Lepisosteus oculatus: one gene and its partner. The protein of the gene in region 1 interacts with the protein of each later gene in a biochemical or structural test. Links are inferred from orthologs where the notes say so. Each region holds a gene or a part of one and is shown on either strand. Other genes may lie near its edges.

Evidence for each region. The genes of interacting proteins can lie anywhere in the genome.
Region 2: the proteins of myh9a (region 1) and protein S100-P interact in a biophysical measurement, tested with the Homo sapiens proteins (2 studies listed by IntAct). The link is inferred for Lepisosteus oculatus from reciprocal best matches to the Homo sapiens genes MYH9 and S100P.

Annotation. Positions count from the first base shown.
Region 1 is NC_090707.1:39,741,667-39,752,233, reverse strand, and holds the start of myh9a (myosin-9), read left to right. Parts: upstream 1-5,586; 5' UTR 5,587-5,676; intron 5,677-10,567. UniProt on the Homo sapiens protein: Cellular myosin that appears to play a role in cytokinesis, cell shape, and specialized functions such as secretion and capping. Required for cortical actin clearance prior to oocyte exocytosis. Promotes cell motility in conjunction with S100A4.
Region 2 is NC_090696.1:42,547,129-42,556,468, reverse strand, and holds protein S100-P, read left to right. Parts: upstream 1-5,619; 5' UTR 5,620-5,660; coding exon 5,661-5,798; intron 5,799-6,607; coding exon 6,608-6,736; 3' UTR 6,737-6,860; downstream 6,861-9,340.

The DNA.
Region 1 (10,567 bases):
CTCCTCCTGCAGTAAGAGGTGTCAGTCCTCTCCTGACTCTGTTTCCTCTCAGGGTAGATATAGCTCTTCCCTCTCTGTTGTTGTTGTGTAATTAACATTCCTTTCTAATGAGAGGGAATGTTCTCATTGATCCCTGGTGGCATTTCATTCTCTTTCACTGCTTCTAACACAATATTCTGCCAACGCAGGCGGCTGTAAGAGCAGAGACACACCTTCCCTGCACTTCGAGCTGAATCCTCTCTCTCTGCCCAGGTGTGCGCTGTTCTGCTCCAGAGGAGGGCAGATGGCTGAGGAATGTGAAGCTGCCAGAGTAACTTTACACCCCTTCCGCTGAGACAAAAGAGCGGCCCGCCCCTCCCCCTCTCGAGCAGGGCGCCGCTCTGTTACCATATAAGGAAGAAAAGAGAGTCCTGCCAGCGAGCTGCCGCGCTGCTGCTCTGCTGGGGAGTGTGGCGCGGGGCTGTGAGTCGTGTACCTGTCAGCCTCGCGTCAGGCAGGAAGGGACTCGGGGCCCAGACCGCGCAGGACTGGGAGGTACAATAGTGTGCAGGAGGAGTGCTCTGGCAGGGCCCGAGCGCCGCACAGGGACTCCGCTCAGACATGAAACAGTTCAGACATGAAACCTTTGCCCTGACAAGGTACAGGCTGGGGGAGGGGTGTGCCCCCCCCTTTCCCCTGCATTCCTGAGCATTGTGAGTCAACACCCCCCTCCCTCTTCCTGTCCTGCAGCCGGGGAGAGGGGAGAGGGTGACCGCAGAGCTCTGCATCTGCACTGGACTGGTATCTGTCTCCTCGGGGATAATTCTCAGTCTGCTTGATCATGGGGAGATTTATCCCTGCACATACTCTGACTTTATAAGCTCTGCATCTGTAATCATATTGAAAACTGATGTGTAAATAAGGCAGCAAGCGACAGGAGCCCAATCAGCCATCTTTCTTCTTTAGTACTTTAGTCATGTATATAAGTGTCCAGAGTTTGGGTCTCAACCACATAGCTAGTAAGCCTGTCTCAGACACCCACAACTCTTTGTGTTAAGAAGTGTTTTTTGTTATCCAGCTTAAATAACATCTCCAGTTTCTGTATGGGCTGTTGTGGGCTGAAGAGACAGAGCTCCTGTACCCTGTCTGTACAGGACAATCCCTCACAACAGGATCCCCATCCGTCATCTTCATCACACCAGTGAGCACTCAGACCTGCAAGGTGCCCCTCTCTCAGACCCGAGAGTATCATCATGACTTGCTGTCCCAGTCCTGTCACAGAGGGCAATCGCAGCCTGTAGGAGCATCAGGCTCAGCAGGTTGGTCCGTCCCATCGAGTGGCTGATGAGAGGAAGTTTCCTCAGTGTTTCAGTCTTTCATATAAGAAATATCACATATCACAAATATTCTCCTGCTGAATGAGCTTTTGCACAGGTCCTGTTCACTCTAGTGGGCTTCTGTGCTTCCATTCCCTCAGCCTGGCACCAGCGAGAGAGCAAGGAAGTGAGAGAGGAAGACAGGGCTAAGAAAGACAGGAGCAGAGAGAGAGACAGGGGCAGAGAGAGACAGGAGCAGAGAGAAAGACAGGAGCAGGGAGAGAGACGAGCAGGGAGAGAGAAAAGTGGCAGAGAGAGAGACGGGTAGAGAGAGAGACAGGGGCAGAGAGAGAGACAGGATCAGGGAGAGAGACAGGGGAAGAGAGAGAGACGGGCAGGGAGAGAGACAGGGGCAGAGAGAGACAAGTGCAACGGGTGATGGGCCGAATTAGGCCAGTACCCACTATTGATAAACATACAGAAAACAGTATTAAAGTATTGGCTACACCTAAAAAACAGCGACCAAAATTCCTACCACCACAAAGCCACCACAACCCAGACCCAAGCACATCACAGCACAGATCAAACAGCAATATCTCACACACTGGGACACACACACAGCATAAACTGGAATGCTACAGAACCCTAAACAGACAATACACACTAGCTGAATATATGACCAACATAAGAAACAACAAAAAGAAACAGACCCTGACGAAGTACAGGCTCAGTGACCACAGCCTGGCCATAGAAACTGGGCGACACAGGCAGACCTGGCTGCCCAGAGAGGACAGGCTCAGTGACCACAGCCTGGCCAGAGACACTGGACACAGACAGACCTGTCTGCCCAGAGAGGACAGGCTGTGCTCCCACTGCCAGCGGGGAGAAATAGAGACAGAGGTGCACTTCCTACTGCACTGTGACAGATACTCTGGGATTAGAGACACATTCTTCCCGAAATTCAGAAATCTCATCCCAGAGTTCCCACACCTGCCAGAATCACAATGGGTCCCAATCCTACTGGGAGAGGGAGGAGGGAACTCAGTTGATCTGGCAGCCCAGTATGTGATCTCCTGTCACAGCCTGAGGAACAGTGAGTCTGTCTCCCAATAATGCTCCATCTGTCTACAGTAGATGTAAATATTTTATGATATGTGTTTGTTGTAAATGTTTGTAATGTCTGTAGACTTTATTTTACTTTTATTTTCTGTTTTGTTTCATGTGAATTTTTATTTGCTTTAGCAACACTGATTGTACCCATCGGTCACACTAATAAAGCACCTTGAATTGAAAAAAAATTGAATTGAAATTGACAGGAGCAGAAAGAGAGACGGGCAGGGAGAGAGAAAAGTGGCAGAGAGAGAGACAAGGCAGAGAGAGAGACGGGCAGGGAGAGAGACAAGGGGCAGAGAGAGAGACGGGGCAGAGAGAGAGATGGGGCAGGGAGAGAGATGGGGCAGGGAGAGAGAGATGGGCAGGGAAGGAGACAAGGGGCAGAGAGAAATGGGCAGAGGGAGACAGAAGCAGAGAGAGAGACAGGGCAGAGACAAGGACGGACAGAGAAAGACAGAGAGAGAGACAGGGAAAGAGAGAAAGACAGAAGCAGAGAGAGGAAGACAGGGACAGAGAGAGATGAGCACAGAATATGATACCTTTTCTAACAACATTGCCTCATCTGTCTCTCAAATCCAAATAGTTTTATTGACATTAAAGGTTAATCACAGTTAATAGCAATTAGTTAATAACAGTTAGTAACAATTTTTACAACAAAAACACATTATTAGACTTTTCCATCCATCCATTTTCTAATCGTTATATCCAGCGCAGGTTTGCGGGGGGCCGAGTGAGGCACGCTGTGGGCGCAAGGTAGGACACCAGTCCATCACGGGGCACACAGACACCCCAGGGCACATTTCCCAGAAGACAATCAACCCTCCAGTATGTCTTTAGATTGTGAGAGAGGAGGAAACCGGAGCACCCAGAGGAAACTCGCAAACACAGGGAGAACATACAAACTCCATGCCGACAGCACCCCAGGAATTTCCAACATGAACTATTAGAGTCTCACTGTCTGTTCCTCAGGCTGGGACAGGAGATCACACACTGTATTATTATTATTGAGAGACAGGCTCACTGTCTGTTCCTCAGGCTGGGACAGGAGATCACACACTGTATTATTATTATTGAGAGACAGGCTCACTGTCTATTCCTCAGGCTGGGACAGGAGATCACACACTGTATTATTATTGAGAGACAGGCTCACTGTCTGTTCCTCAGACATATTCCAGATTTACAACAAAGACATATCATCAAATATTTACATATACTGTTAACAAATGGAGCATTATTGGGAGACAGGCTCACTGTTCCTCAGGCTGTGACAGGATATCACATACTGGGCTGCCAGTTCAATTGAGTTCCCTCCTCCCTCTTCCAGTAGGATTGGGACCCATTGTGATTCTGGCAGGTGTGGAAACTCTGGGACTAGATTTCTGAGTTTAGGGAAGAATGTTTCTCTAATTCCAGAGTATCTGTCACAGTGCAGTAGGAAGTGCACCTCTGTCTCTATTTCTCCCCGCTGGCAGTGGGAGCACAGCCTGTCCTCTCTGGGCAGACAGGTCTGCCTGTGTCGCCCAGTTTCTATGGCCAGGTTGTGGTCACTGAGCCTGTACTTCATCAGGGTCTGTTTCTTTTTGTTGTTTCTTATCTTGGTCAAATATTCAGCTAGTGTGTATTGTCTGTTTAGGGTTCTGTAGCATTCCAGTTTGTTGTTTGTGTGTGTGTGTCCCAGTGTGTGAGATGTTGCTGTTTGATCTGTGCTGTGATGTGCTTGGGTCTGAGTTGTGGTGCTCTAGCAGTGCCGTCCTGAGACTGGCTGGTGTCGGTGTGGCTCAGGACCAGCTGGCTCAGGGGGCTCTGTTTTGGGCTCAGCTCTTGGCTCAGCAGGGCTTTGTGGTGGTAGGAATTTTGGTCGCTGTTTTTTAGGTGTAGCCAATACACTCTCTCACTCTCTCAGATACACTCTCTGTCTCAGTCACACACTGTCTCAGACACATGCTCACTCTCTCACTCTCACAGACATGCTCAGTTTGTGTTGAGCAGCTGTTAATTTAGAAACACCAATCAACGCTGAACACCATGAATTTGGATACATTTTGAGCTGGCCAGCTATCTGTGTGGAGTTTGCATGTTCTTCTCCATGTGCAGGTTTGCTCCAAGTGTCCAGAGTCAGCTTGGGTAAGAGGGGTGCCAGTCTGTGTGTCCCCAATCGCCCATACTGGCATGTACTGTGGCACTGGCCCCTGGGCTGGCCTCAGCCTGTTCCAGAGCCTGCTGAGGTCAGAGCCAGAGCAAAGGGCTGGCTCTCGCGGGGCACCAGGCCTGACTCACCGGCCTCAGACAGCAGAAGGACACAGGTACCAGCGCAGGGGAGGCACCTGCTGAAACAGCCATCTATCCCGGCGCAGGAGAAGATTCACAGCTCAACTCTCCCAGCAGTCTCTGGAGCTCTGCAGAGGGGGGGATACCCACTGCAACAGACAACCCAGCCAAATAATTACAGACCAGTATGTCTGCCTTCTGTGGCATATAAAGTAATGGAAACAATAATCAGAAGACAACCAGGGGATCATCAGTATTAAAAAGAACATCCTAGTCAATGTGGATTTTAAAAAGACAGATCTCTTTAACTACCGTGTACCTTGATCAGCAGGAAACAGAGCGAGCGCCACTGGGCATTCAGATCTTCAGAAGGCTACTGACAATGTTGCTGCCAACAGATGTACTGTCAGGTGTGTCCGGTCGTGACCACGAGGAGGACCTTCCTCTGTCGGAGTGTTGTTAAATGGGACATGATTAGAAATGCGATCAACGCAGATACGGAGGCGGCCAGCTTCTCTAACATTTTAGCGCTCACGGGACTCGAGGGTGACTAATTACTGTGGAAGCAGGCAGGAAAGGTGTCTGCAGGGAGATGTTTGATGCCGCTGGCAGTCATACTTATATGGTAATAAACTTATCCCGCACATACCTCTCTAATTAAACACTTAGCGCTGCCTCCGAGCCCCGGGAGCAGCACCCTCAAGCCACGCCCCCATGCCGCTCCGCCACTGGCCGGTCCGGCCCAGATTGGCCTGCTCCGATTGGGCGGGGGGCGTGGCTGGGAGCCTGGCCCCGCCCCGCAGCCGCGCCCTGCCCGGTCCCAGCCAGTCTGCGCGGAAGCAGCCGCTCAGGCCGAGAGGAGACAAGCGCTCGCTGCTACTGCGCGTTTCCACCGAGCTGCACGACAACTGCTTTCTCGCCGCCGAGCTGGGACAGCGGGACGGGGAGCCGACCGAGTTCAGAAGGGTTTCAGACGATTCTCTGTTCGTCGTTGGCCCAGGTAAAGTGCCCTCTGTCAGCCTCAGCCGGACCAGGAACTTCGTGCTCTTGCGCTTCGTCACCGGCGGCTGAGCGGGCGTGGGGCGCTGCCGTGCTCGGGCTCCTACAGGAAGTGCGCCGGGAGGGAGCCGGGGTCCAACTCGTACGGGTCGCGCACGCCGGGTTAGTGGAGTCCTGCGGCTGCTGGGCTTGGGGGTGTTTCCGGGGTCGCGGTGGGTCTGTTTCCCGGGCTGCCGGCTGCTCCGACGGTCTCCGGGGCGGGAGGGACGGAGAGACACGGGCCCCCGAGCTGTCAGGGTCAGGACCGGGTCACTCGGGCCGGGAGCGGGCTTGTCTGGTCTCTTTCTGCTCACGCCCTGCAGAAACGCGCGTGTTTTAGGACCTGCACCCTCACCGCCAGCTCAGGTGAAACAGCGACACGCCGCCGCAGTGCGGCTCCAGTCCGGGTTTTCCTGGCGCCCGGGCTGAGCGGGTGACACTCGTGCCGTGGGGTGTGGAGACCTGGGAGCAGCAGCCGCACCCTCACCTCTCCGGGATGATCTCATCCACCGAGGAAGTGGCGCTGGCCACGGCGCGAGCCGCGACTGGGAGGGCTGGTGGGCGAGCTCGCGGCCGGTCCACGGCACGCCGTGGCGGTTCCCAGCCCGGTCTGATTCGGGTCCGGGGTCCTGCCTCCGAAGGAAATTTCTTATCGCGAGCCCGGGAGGCTCATTTCCGGCCGGTCTCGCCTGAGCCTAATCTTTCCACGGGCGTGGGGGGGAATCGCGTGGAACAATTAGGGGGACGGGTCGACCGGGACCGGCGGTGTCTGGAGTCTGAGGTCGGGGTCAGGGGTTCAGATACAACCGTTTTGTCACAGAATATTTATGGGTCCTGGTTTCACCCTGTGCTGGGTGCTGGAGACATCCTGCGGTTCTTGGCACTGTAGTGTTTGGACTGGGCCTCCCCAGAACTGCCCTGCCTGACGTCTCTGCGTGGTCTCGGGCTGTGGGAGTCTGTTAGTGTACCTGGCCTCTGGCAACGATGTCACTTCCTCCCTGTGCTCTGAGTGTGATGTCACTTCCTGTCTCTGTGCTGGAGCTCTCAGGCACCTGGGCGGATGTGGACACGCGTCCGACAACAGGAAGTTGAGGTGCGATGCTGCACCAAGCAGCCAAAAGTGTTCTGTCTCACCAGGCTTGCAGACGGCCCAGGGGGGAGAGAGGGGTTTGGGTTGAGGGGGTTTGGGGAGACATTGAGGGGGGCAGTGAGGGTGAGAGGGACAGTGAGGGGTTTGGGGTGAGGAGGGGTGTTTATAGCGAGGGTGTTGTCAGGCTCGGGTGAGGGTCACTGTGGGGGTGAATCTGTTCTGCGGAGCAGTGGCAGGAGAGGGGTTGCAGGTTTTCTCACCAGTGTCTCTGTGACTGAGGCGCATGTGCACAGTGCCCCTGGTGGCGCCCCCTGCGGGTCAAGGAGGGGGTTACAGTAGGTGAGCACGGTCTCATCTGTGCTGGGCAGATGGGCTCCCAGACACCTGGAGTCCATCTCGGCTTTTCTCAGCAGCTGAGAGCTCCTGAGTCCGTTCTGGTGGAGCAGAAAAGCAGCCGTTTCTGTTCCTGAACCGCGGTTCCTTCAGGTGCCTGTTCGAGGGCCTGCGGCGGGTGGTAAAACCCGGGGTGGATCTGGATCTGGCTGCAGGGACACTGCAGTCACGTCCTGTGAAACTGTGGCTGAGCAGCGCTGGCGGTGCCACCAGACAGCCAGGTGACCTGGGTCTACCGATCCAAGGGAGGAGAAGAGCCGGCAGCGGGCGGAGGAGTGTGGCTCTTCCGTACCCCAGTAGCGGTCCTGCTGTGCGACGCTCGGGGCCAAGCCCCGGGTGTGTGTGCGTGCTCTGCTGTGTGTGGAATTGGGCAGCTGTGTCGCAGTCTTGGTTGTGGCCTGTGTGTGCTGGAGGGGAGGTATTCGTGGTGGCTCTGACCCTGGCGCTGGGCAGTCTGAGGCAGGGGGGGTGCCCTTAGCACAGAGCTCTCGTGTCTCTCCTCGTACACTGGCCTGCCTGCCGCCGTCTCTCTGTCCTGGAGACCCGGTCAGTGTCCGGAACGGGACAGAGGACAAGAGCGCAGGTGCAGTTCTGCCCTGGACTGTGTGGGTGTGGCCGATAACGAGATTGCAGGAGCTGCTGGCTCCCTGTGCTGACTTGTCCTCGAGCTCGGCAGACATTCCTGCTCTGTGCACTCCGTCAGGAATGAGCTGCTCTTCTCGTTGCCTGGGGACCCGCTGACTGCTCACTTCCTGTTGGGAAGTTTTCCCTGTATCCTTATCTGTATCCCTTATCTCCCTGTGTGGCTGTGGGCTATCGAGGGGCGGAGACGCTGGTGGCCAGCAGTCCTGATGATTTGTCTGCTGAGCAGGGTACTGGCAGTGTCAGCGGTTCTGCTGCAGGACAGCCCAGTGGCAGCAATTATGTACCTCTTAGTTCACTGGCTGACTGGTCAGCAGAAGCTCTTCCTGGAGTGTCCAATGGGGGGCGCTCACAGGCTGTATCCTTCCTCCAGTGCTGCTGCTGCTGTCTCAGTGTCCTCTGAATGAATGCAAATGAGGCTCCAGCCACATAGTGTGAGGGCCGGTGTTTTAATGGTGTTGAGCAGCTGCTTGCTCAGCAGTGGGCCCAGTGGGGTGTGTTGTCAGCCTGGGCTGTGCCCTGTGATCCCAGAACCGGTGCTCGATCAGCAGCAGCCTGTGCCTGTGTGAAGAAGAGAGCTCTGAGGGTGTATCCGCCTGTGAGCAAGGGAGTGTGTCACACAGCAGAGAGAATGAGCCAGGTCTGCTGTGACTTTCAGCTGCAGGGCTCACGGTCTGGCCTGATGCTGGTCTCTGCCTGTGCTGACAGCAGCTGCATTTCTGGAATTCTCTCCTTATCCATTAGCGAGTGGAATGGTAGGAATGTGTCCCAGAGGACAGGGGAAACAGAAGGCAGCCCGGGTCGGTGCAGAAGGGCCTGGATTGGATCAGGGCCTCTCTGCTGCCCTGCGGTGTGGGTACTGTTCTCAGGGTGGAGGTGTGATGAGCACTGTGTTCAGGGTAGAGGTGTGTACTTTGGGGAGCACTGAGTTTAGGGTAGGGGTGTGTGTACTTTGGGGAGTGCTGTGTTCAGGGTGGGCGTGGGAAGCACTGACTTCTTCAGCTGTGGGGTCACAGGGGTCATGGGAAACTGGAAAGGGAGAAGAGCTCTCATCTCCAGACTCGGTGAGCTCTGTTGCAGTGACCAGTGAGTAAGTACTGCTAATCAACAACATAAATCCTGTTAGTTATTTCCATCCATATCTGAAAAAAACATCCGAGACTGGCTCTCTGCTCCTTAGGCTGTGGCAGGAGATTGCATACTGGGCACAGGGTGTGGTCCTGCAGTCCTCCAGTTTGTGTCTCTCTCCCAGTGGGGGAGGCAGTGCTGGTCAGTGTGTGTTGTTTGTGTGCGTGTGTCCCAGTGGGAGAGGCAGTGCTGGTCAGTGTGTGTGTGTTTGTGTGCGTGTGTCCCAGTGGGAGAGGCAGTGCTGGTCAGTGTGTGTGTGTTTGTGTGTGTGTGTCCCAGTGGGGGAGGCAGTGCTGTGTGTGTTGTGCTGTGTGGTGGGTGTTGCTGTAGCTGGTTGCTGTCAGTGAGCTTCAGGACCAGCTGGCTGAGGGCTCTTCTCTGGGCTCAGCTCTGGCTCAGCAGGGTCTTGTGATGCTGGGAGCTCTGCTCACTGGTTCTCAGGGGTGACCAGTATTTTCTTGCAGTCTTCTGTATGTTGGTCAGCAGTGGGTATCTGCCTATTCAGCCCAGGATTTGTTTCTGTCTCTATCCTTATTCTGGTAGAGCAACTGCCCTGTCCTTATCTGCAGGAATCAGAGTAGTTAATAGGCAGAGCAGCAATTTATCCCTCCACACGCACATGCACAGACATGCGCAAAGACACGCACACACCCTTTCCTGTTGTTCAGCACTCCTGACAGACGGCGGGGGGAGGGAAAAAGGCTGAATCTTTGTATTTAGCAACAGTGTGACCTGGTGTGGTCTTTGTACAGATTAGATCTCTCTCTTCTTGCCTCTGGGTTTATTGGTCTCTCTTTCCTGAGCCTATAAAATTCTTTAAGTTCATCCTGAGCCTGTTTCTTTCAGATTTTTTAAATTCAAGCAGGTTTATTGGCATGACTGATGAATTTCAGTGTTGCCAAAGCAGATACAATTAACACAACATCTACAGATGTTGACAATACAAACACATCTCGGGACACTTACATACAACATATAGAACATTACACACTATATTATTATTATTGAGAGACAGACTCACTGTTCCTCAGGCTGGGACAGGAGATCACACACTGTATTATTTTTATTGAGAGACAGGCTCACTGTCTGTTCCTAAGGCTGGGACAGGAGATCACACACTGTATTATTATTATTGAGAGACAGGCTCACTGTCTGTTCCTCAGGCTGGGACAGGAGATCACACACTGTACATGGAGGATGTTGTTTTCAGAACTCTGTGCACAAGGCTTGTATGAGTTGTCACAGTGTAATCCTGGTCTCTGAGTGGACCAGACTCTTCACTGCTGTATAGGGCAATGGGTTGGATTACACTTTCAAATATTTGCAGCCAGATTTTTATGGGGGGGTTGATATTGTAGAGCCTCCCTCTATTGGCGTAGAAAGCCCTGGGTGCCTTCACTGCCAGGTCGAAACTCCCAGATGAATCGATTGTCAGTTGGAGTTGTGTGTTGTTTCCCTGAGACCTCACTTTCTTGTCCATGGGACTGGTCTTGTCCAGATGGGCTGGCAGTGCCCGGGTCTGACAGTACTGCTCCAGCAGTGCCAGGCTCTGTTCTGTGGGCAACAGCAGGACCAGGTCATCGGTAGAGCAGGAACTTGA
Region 2 (9,340 bases), on another chromosome or scaffold:
ATAATTGCATTAATATCAATTATATATCATTATTAAGTTTGAGGCGAAGGGGATCTCAATGGAAACTGTGGGCACTGAACCATATGGAGGTGTGAGAAAGTAGTAGATCTACAATATACGGTAAGTAAGCTGATTTGAGTGCAAGCTTTCTTAACAAACACATATCACCACAGCAGTGACAGCAGTGGAGACTGATAGTTGTAACAGTTCACACTGGAAAGCCGTGAAAGAAGCAAAACAAAAAGTAAAAAAAATGAAAACAATTACTATGTACTGAAGCCACCGTAGTAGCAGTTAAAAAGAAACTAATCCAATATCCAGTCTGAAAACTGTTGGAATGTTCGTTTCACAAGAAGTACTTTAATTGGAGAACCACCAAATAAAGCCGTTCATCTTGAAGTCCTTCGGAAGGAATGACCATGCAGGTATCACATGCTACTGATAACAGTAAAGTGACAGTTCAAAGAAATAGGAAGAATGGTGAGTGGTTCAATAACATTATGCTGGGAAAAGCTTCTGTTACGGAAAGGAAAATCACTGACTTAATGTGCTGAATAAATAAATGAACACAGGAGTTTGCCCTCGGAAAACAACTTTCTCTTCTTTTGTGCAAGTGTTTTTGTTCACACCTTATAGTGCATATTAATAGTCATGTATATTAGCATATGACAACCATATGAGACTTCAAGCCTTTTCACGTTTTCTCTTTTTGCTCACAATGTTGTGTTTTATTCTCATTCATTGCTGTAATAATCTGTTTCTCGCTTCTAGGGTAAAAATCCACCCCAAAGAATTGGGTGAGCTGTGGAAACTTAGAAAGTCTCTTATAGGTCAGCAACAGGAAATGGAAATATGGTGTGACATTTTAAAAGCAATCATTATAATGACTTTCTGTTGAGGATGTGGCTTTCACTTTTGTTGCTTTATTACTTTTTGACAGTCAATTTAGAATGCTTCTAGAGCAAGAAAGAAAGATTTAATTTCATTATATGGACAAAATGTGGACAACAACTTACACTTACTACTTACTACTTACAGAACACCATGTCTTACAGCCGATCTGAATCTAACAAGAATTGTTTCACAAAAATTAATATTCTGCTTTCCTTGGGTAAAGTGTCAGTCACATTAATTGTGTGCTTTGTAATTTCAAACATTCATCTTCTTCTATGCTCTTTTGGAGTGAGCGGTAGTCTTAAGAAAAAAATAGACAATCTGAGTGAAGGAGATTGCTTCGGAATACAACAGCAGAGTCCCAACCGAGGTTTGAGCCCACAAAAACACCCTTCTGAGTCTCTTTATGTGGATGTGATGCTGGATGAATCACTCAAATGTGGGCAAAGGTCGAAAGTATACCATGAACTAACTGAACACACCTACAGCTAATGATCCCACATGGACTCTTACGCAGTGTACTTAGGGCTGGCAGAGCTCAAGATATCAGTACAAATGCACATTAATGTTTAATCAAACAAGAGCATAATAGCAAATGCCTCTACTTTGCACTTAGTTCATAGTTCAATGAAACAATGAATCACAAGGTGTGACTCTCAGACAACTTCAGGCTCTTTTAGTCTCTTTTAGTCTAAACATCTGCCAGAATTTGGAGAAACTGTAATTTTGTATTTATATACAAATTTATATAATTATTTTATTTTGAGTGTTAATATACTTTTTAAAGTTCTACAAAGTATTGTATATGAACTAATTTGATCAAACAACCATATTCATTTTTTTAACAGCGAGCATTGTGACTTTCAAACTTTTCTCATACGGTAACAATATTTTGCTTTTAAAAATAAAATGTTACACAGAAAACTCCTGGAGAATTAGGTTTGTTTTATTGGTCAAAACCCACTTATTTTCTGAAATAAAATATTGTTAACAGTTTTGGTTTACAGTTATTCTTAACTTAAATGTGATTATGAAACTGTTGAACAAACTGAAGTTTATGAGAAACAACAGGAAATAGGTGAAAAGTTTGATAGCAAGAAAGTGTCATCAAGACAGGAAATTTATCTTTGTCTTTAAAAAAGATAATTCTCTTGACTTTCTTTCAGTTCTTATTGTTTTGTCTTTTATGTAAAGAAATCTGTTCAAATTAAAATCCAGATATGACATCATATCTTTGAAATACTATTTTTTAACATATTTTATATATACTTACTGTACAGTCATAGACAAAATGATGCAACCAACCATTAAACTATCTAAACACAAACATAAATAATCATTCTTATCCTGCATTTAGAGGCAACGCAACATAAAAATAAAACAGGTTAGTGCCTTATATATTGTTATCAGTTCTGCATTCCCGAAGAATCCAGTTATGGAAAACTCACATTATAGTAGCCATTGACTCAATGGGAACTAAAGGGTTAAAGAGGGAAGTTTTTGAGAAACCACTATCGTGAATTCCACCACTGTGAAAGCAATGGAGATGAAGAGTGGGTTTTAGAGTTTAAAAAGTTTTAGGGTGAAAAACGTCATCAATTTTCTAAATTGAAATAGAGATCCACCCTGCAGGGTACACACTGACACAAACACAGACACACTCATACCAGAGCCATTTTTTCCAGAAGCCAATCAACCTATCAGTATGTTTTCGGACTGTGAAAAAAATGGGAGCCCTAGTTTACACAAAACATTGTAAGAGTATGAGACAAGCTACAGTACAAAGAAAAAGTCTGTTAACTCTCTAGGCGGGACCCATATTCTTCGACTTTTTAGGTTGAAAACATAACTAGATTTTAGTCAAAGCCTTAAGAAAATATTAAGATAACTTGATTAAACATAAAACACACCAAAAAAAATTATATCTGGACTATTAATAAAATGATCCAATAGTGAATATCCTCATGTGAATAAGTAGGTGAATCCTTAGATTGAGTTGCTGAGTCATTGAAAATAACAAACGTTCTCAGTTACTTTTTGAAAGGACTACGAGAGATTTCAGTTACCATTCACAGAAAAACAATCTGAAATATCAGATAAGGTATCATATCAGCCTGATAGACTAATGAAGAGATTAGTCCTTCTCCATCCATCTGATGGAGAGGCCTGTGGCCATATAAAGCTCAAAAACTGTATTAGTGCCATTTGCTAGACAGTGCTTCTGATGTCTGTTTCACACAAATTTACAAATATAGGGACGTGTAAGAGTGACCTATTCTGACACCTCAGAAACCACAGAAGCACTACATTTATTAAATAAGATCTATATTTATTTGCCATATACAATTTCTTGCTTTAGGAATTTGTCTTATTGCATATCCCAGCTTGCCCTCCATGAGACACACAAACAGGGAGAGAGAAGGTTGGGGTCAGAGCACAGGGTCAGCCATTTACACAGCACCCTTGGAGCAGTTGGGATTAAGGGCCTTGCTGAGGGGCCCAGTAGAGGAGGATTCCTCTGCCAACCACAGGATTTGAACCAGCAACCTTTCACCCACAGGTACAGATCCTAAGCCACAGCGCCACCGCTCCACCATGTGTTTATGCATACAATGGTATGCACAGAAGTTGTGCAAGAACTCCTAGGAGTTTATTTTTATGTTAACCAAGAACATGATTTAACTGGCTGAAGCCCTAACCGAAACAATAACTTGATTTGACCTCTTAGTGTAGTTCAAGTGTATTTTATATAGTCCAAATGCAATAAAACTACGTGGAAGTGCATTTAAAACAGAACAGGAGACATTTATTTACATAGAGGATTGTGACAGTATGGAACAAGCTACCCAGCTATGTTTTTGAAGCCAATATCCAAGAAACAGCCGGATGAGATACTTGGATCAATTAACTACCACAGAGTTTGGTGGGCCATGTAGCCTCCACTCCATATAGCCTCCTCCTGTAATATTTTTTATGTTCTTAAAAGAGCTTTTCCCAACCATCATAGTCCTGCTCCTTAAGTTACTAAGCAAACTGAGAACTACTACTTGACAATTCTTGGTCATGGTCAGTTAGTGACAGATTTGATGTTTCAGTACAAAAAAATAGGAACTGCATTATGATGGCACATTACTGTCATTGTCCATCTACTACTGTATCAACAGATTCTGGAGGTATTTCCAGCTGAAAAAAGTATGCAAAATCAACCTAGTCAGTAAAACTACAAACCCAGATCTTCAGACAACTAAGAGCTGTTGGTATCTACAGTACAGGAACTCTTGCAATGGTAATATCCTTTGTCTGCAATGCATTCCAGTTCGTTAGATATTAGTAAAGCCCAATGTTTTTGTGTCTCATCTGGCCCAAATTAGGAAACCATGGGTTTAGTAGTACAAAGACATGAGGAGCCACTTTTGACCATTCTTTCCTGTCAATACAGTGTAATTTTTCTTAACTTTCAGTGTCATTCTGTGATTTTGTGTTGTTGATAGACAACCACTCACATTGATTTTAAACCTGTATTCCACTGCTCTGATACAGTTAGCAGTGCATATGTCATGTCATTTGCCAAACTGCTTTATAACATATGGTGTCGTGCCTACACAGCAAGCAATGAGCACAAGGCAGGGTACACCCTGGACGGGGTGCCAGTCCATCGCAGGAAAAGTGCAAGCCAATCATACCTATCAATGGGGACAATCAAAGCCAATCAATGGGGACAATTTGGATGCCACAGTAAAGGCAGAGGGGGGAAATTTGGCCCGGACAATGGGATAACTCCCTACTCTTATAAAAAAAACCCGGGGATCTTTAATGACCACTGAGGGTCAGAACCTCGGTCTAACGTCTCATTTGAAAGACAGCGTCCACTACAGTATAGTGTCCCCAGCACTATACCAGGGCATTAGGACCCACACAGACCACGGGACAGGCACCCCCCACTGGTCCCACTGATACCACATCCAGCAGCAACCATAGCTTACCAGGAGGTCTCCTATCCAGGTGCTGACCAGGCTCAATCCCGCTTATCTTCAGTGAATAGCCAGTTGAGAGCTGCAGGGTGATATGGCTGTTGTCTCAGTGTATCTTTGAGCAATGAAAGCCAAAGATAAATAATCCCTTGACCTGAGAATGGATGGTGAATATACCTATACTCTTTACAAAATGATTTTGCCTATTTTGCTAAAATATCTTGCCAGCTTATGGTGGACACACCAGGTATTGATCACATAGGTGTGCTTGACTTGAATGTACCATATACCTAATCACATGTGACCATTAGACCTTTCTTTGCACATTGCAAGCTTGAGAAAAGAAAAAGCACATGGATTTATACGATATGTGTCTCCATTGTCAAGTAGGCCTGCCAATAAGCGGTCACCTAAAAAGTACAAATAGAAGTATAAAAAAACTGTAAATACTATTGCTATACTATAGCTTTGGTTGCCTAGTTACATATTTATCTTACGTGGGAGGAAATAAAATTCTGAAAGGAGAGAGATAAACAGCTGTTGACACAGTTATTATTTTCCTATTATTCCTATTATTTTCACTTCTAATATTATCAGGCCACAGCCCTCTGGTGGCTAATACATACTATTTGCTCCCAGATAAAAAGTGACTGATACAACAAATAGCAATTGGCTGTAGAAACCCATATACTGCGTGTATATAAGTCCTCTTTGCTTCATTCTGTACGTTCACTACTAAGTCATACTTCTGAGGTGCAGGAGTCCCACAGTTTGTAGCAGAAGAAGCTAGTCACCATGTCTCAGCTGGAGAATGCCATGGCGATGATAATGCAAGTGTTTGACAAGTATGCCAGTACTGATGGCAAGAAGCAGACTCTGACCAAGGCTGAGCTGAAGACAATGATGGAGAAGGAGCTTCCAGCATTTCTGAAGGTGTGTGAGTGATGAGTTAATTTCTCCTGGTCTTCATGGTGAACAGTGTTGCCTCCACAGCTTCGATCACTTAGTATTATTTTTGTATTCCTTGGAAATCCCTGAGCAAAGGGTTAATTTTGTAAGTCAAGTGCTTCCTGTGACACTCTTTTCTTTGATTCTTCCAACAATAATATAAATGTTTATGTTGGGTCATCAATCAGTTTATGTTGATATCAATTTTGTAAGGTGATGTTACATACAGCACATTTTCAATGAACTGTTTTATCTTACAGACAACTTCTAAATATCTCTAAATACGCTTTTTTTTTCAAATACATGAGATCTCTTCACTCAGAGACCAGACATTTAAACTTTCCTTTGGGTTTTTTTATTATTCAATATAATAGTTCTTAATCCTGGATTTTTATATTGCAAATACCCCTTTTAAGAGCCTATCAGCAAAATTATTTGATACAAGAGCTGGATACATTCTGTTTTAGATTTTGTCAGGTGACTAGAAAATATATTGAGAATTTAATACAAAGGGCCTAGTATTAGTAAAAATTTGTCACATATTTTCCAGTTCCATTGTGTTTCTGAAGTCCTGACAGATTCGTCCTTAAACTACAGTTCTTAATCAGTATCAGTAAAAGAGTCTTCCAACTGACAACACTGTATAATTTCCTTTTCCAGTACTTAAGCAGATGAGAATTATAAACAACATGATTTACATGATGGAATGGAAATGCAATCTGAATTTAGAATTTAGACACAAAAAATGTGAATAAATGATTACACAAAAACATTGATCTCCTATCTGATTGCAGGCTGCCAAGAACCAGGATGAGGCTGACAAGCTGATGAAGGCCCTGGATCACAACGGAGACTCAGAGGTGGACTTCAACGAGTTTGTCATCCTCGTGGCAGCTCTGACCTGCGCCTGTCACAACCGCTGACCTAGACTCCTCGCAAAACATCGACTGCAACCTGATTGGCAGTTTTTTTACACATTTGTAACAGTGCTCTTAAAAAAGTCAATTGTTTACATAAAATGTAATGAGAATGTTTAATAAAAGTAAAAAAAATGTGAGAACTGATAAATCTTTCTTTTCCCTTTTGAAGTATGAAATCCTACACTGATGCAGTAGATAGTTTATGCTTTGGCTAAATCATTTGCACTTCATGACTTGAGCTCGGTTGAACATTCATGAAGTGACAACCCGCTCACCGAGCACAAACTTCGAGCCTACTGTAGTTCTGAAAGATGAGATTTTGCATGATAGAGCTTTCTTTCTTTTAGCCGATGGAAGACTCCCATGATTTTAAGGGATTCCGAGTCATGGTAAAAGCTGAATCGAAGTTTCAAATGGGCAAAGCTGGTCCTGCACACACGCACACATTTGAAATGCTGTTTATATAGGCGTATTTGAACTGAAACAATGCCATTTCAGTTATTCGGCTAGATCCTAATAAAGACGAGAGAGACTAGATTCTCAGAGTGTATTTGGCGTAGCTCGACTGGTGGAAGAAAAATTTCTTCCTTACCAAAGAATGTGGCTGCCCAGACCACCTCCCTCGGTATTGTGAGGATTGAGCCAAGGAATTGTTGCTGCAGGGGTGTAGATGGGATAGGTTGTGGGGGTTATAAAAAAAATTGTGCTACGGGAATCCTCAGTCACACACAGACGTGAAGAAATGGGAGATTAGTATTTTAGCTTGAATTTCTATTCTAACTTGGCTATAATTCAATTTTCTGAAATTATGTTAGCACACTTACCACACCTAATTATTTTGATTATCCTACCATAAGTGTGGATTTATTCTATTTTACACTTTATTTTCTTAAGCCGAACAAAAATTTCAATTGTATTGCACTATTTGGGTGAAAAACAACAAGAAGAGTTGAGGGAGGAATCCAATCAACCCATCTTGCTCATTTGGTAGTTTGAGTAGGTAGATGCATCAGCATGCGTAGGCTGCAAAAGAGCAAGTAATTGGTGTATTCCACACTGAAAAGAGAAGAAAGAAAACATAACGTTTCGGCTGTGAAGCCTTCTTCAGTGTGTGAGAAAGACAGGGCAGACAGCAAAGATTAAATAGCATAGGAGAACAAAAGCTGGGAGAGTGGAGGAGGCGAGAGTGTTTTACAAGGAGTGCAGAGAAACAAGTGCAGCTGCTCTTTTGGCCTGACTTTATGAGATCCCAGATGGCAAGCAAGGCTGGGCCTGGTCAGCGCTGCAATGTCAGACTTCTAAAAAACATGCTGCTGCTATAAGAGGTGTTAGTGGACCAGTAGGAAGTGCTGTTCTCTCTAGACCACAATTTCCAAACCAATACACCAGAAGGGGTAGGAAAGACACTGGGCAGCTGGAGGTGCCATCTTTCAGATTTCATTCACATCTAATTCTCAGCTGAGGTCTGAGTTCATGTGCGACAGAAGTGCTCTGTGGTGAAATGCCTCTGTCACAGGTGAAACTCTTCTGGGCAACTAAAGGATGTAAACAAAGGTGTTACACAATATTTTCTTCCTCTGCCCTAGGTGAAACGTGTGCCTTTCAGCCTTGTTTCCATCATCAAATCATTGCAATCCAAATCAAAAGAACTTCAAGTCAGTACTCAGTTACTGTCGTTGTCTTGTATGCCATGTGTTTGACTAGAGAAATGTGCCCAGATTATATGTGATGTGAATATACAAAAACACAGCTCTGATCAATAATGGTTCATTGAGAATTAGAACCTTGTTATTTAATAATCACTAATTAAAGAAGGCAACGCTTGTAGAGTTAATTACCAAATACAGCTGATGTCGAAGTTCTTGAACTATGGCCATAATAATAATAATAATAATAATAATAATAATAATAATAATAATAAACTTTATTTTATATAGCGCCTTTAAAGGTGGCTTCTCAAAGCGCTTTACAGAATGACAACAACAATAAATAAAAAGAATACACAAGATAAAACACAATTACAATTACAATATACAGAGGAGACCGTGATACTTAGAAATGCAGAGTGGTGAAGAATGGAACCAGTCTTGGGGGACAGTTAGACCAGAATTAGAAGAATTAGGATTAGAAGATCGAAGGTTGTGAGGTGGGGATTAGGGTGATAATAGTTCAGACAGGTACTGAGGTGCTAAGCCATACAGAGCCTTTTAGGTGAGCATGAGGATTTTAAAGTCTACACTGAATTTGACAGGAAGCCAGTGCAAGGACTCCAGGATAGAAGTAATGTGATCACTTGCACTAGACCTGGTCAGGATTCTGGCTGCTGAATTTTGGACATACTGCAGTTTTAGATACCCCAGTGAGTAGAGCATTACAATAGTAATGTGTTGATCAGCTTTTAAGCAACACAGTTAGTGATCCCATAGGGCATAGTCTAGCGATATTTCTGAGGTGAAAAAAATATGTTTTGACAATATGCCGCACATCTAGGTTGAATGGGGGGTGCCAAAAGGCATGACTTCAGTCTTGTCATAGTTAAGATGAAGGAAATTTTGAGTCATCCAAGTTTTTATGTCAGAGATGCAATTAGATAGAATATAGACAGCC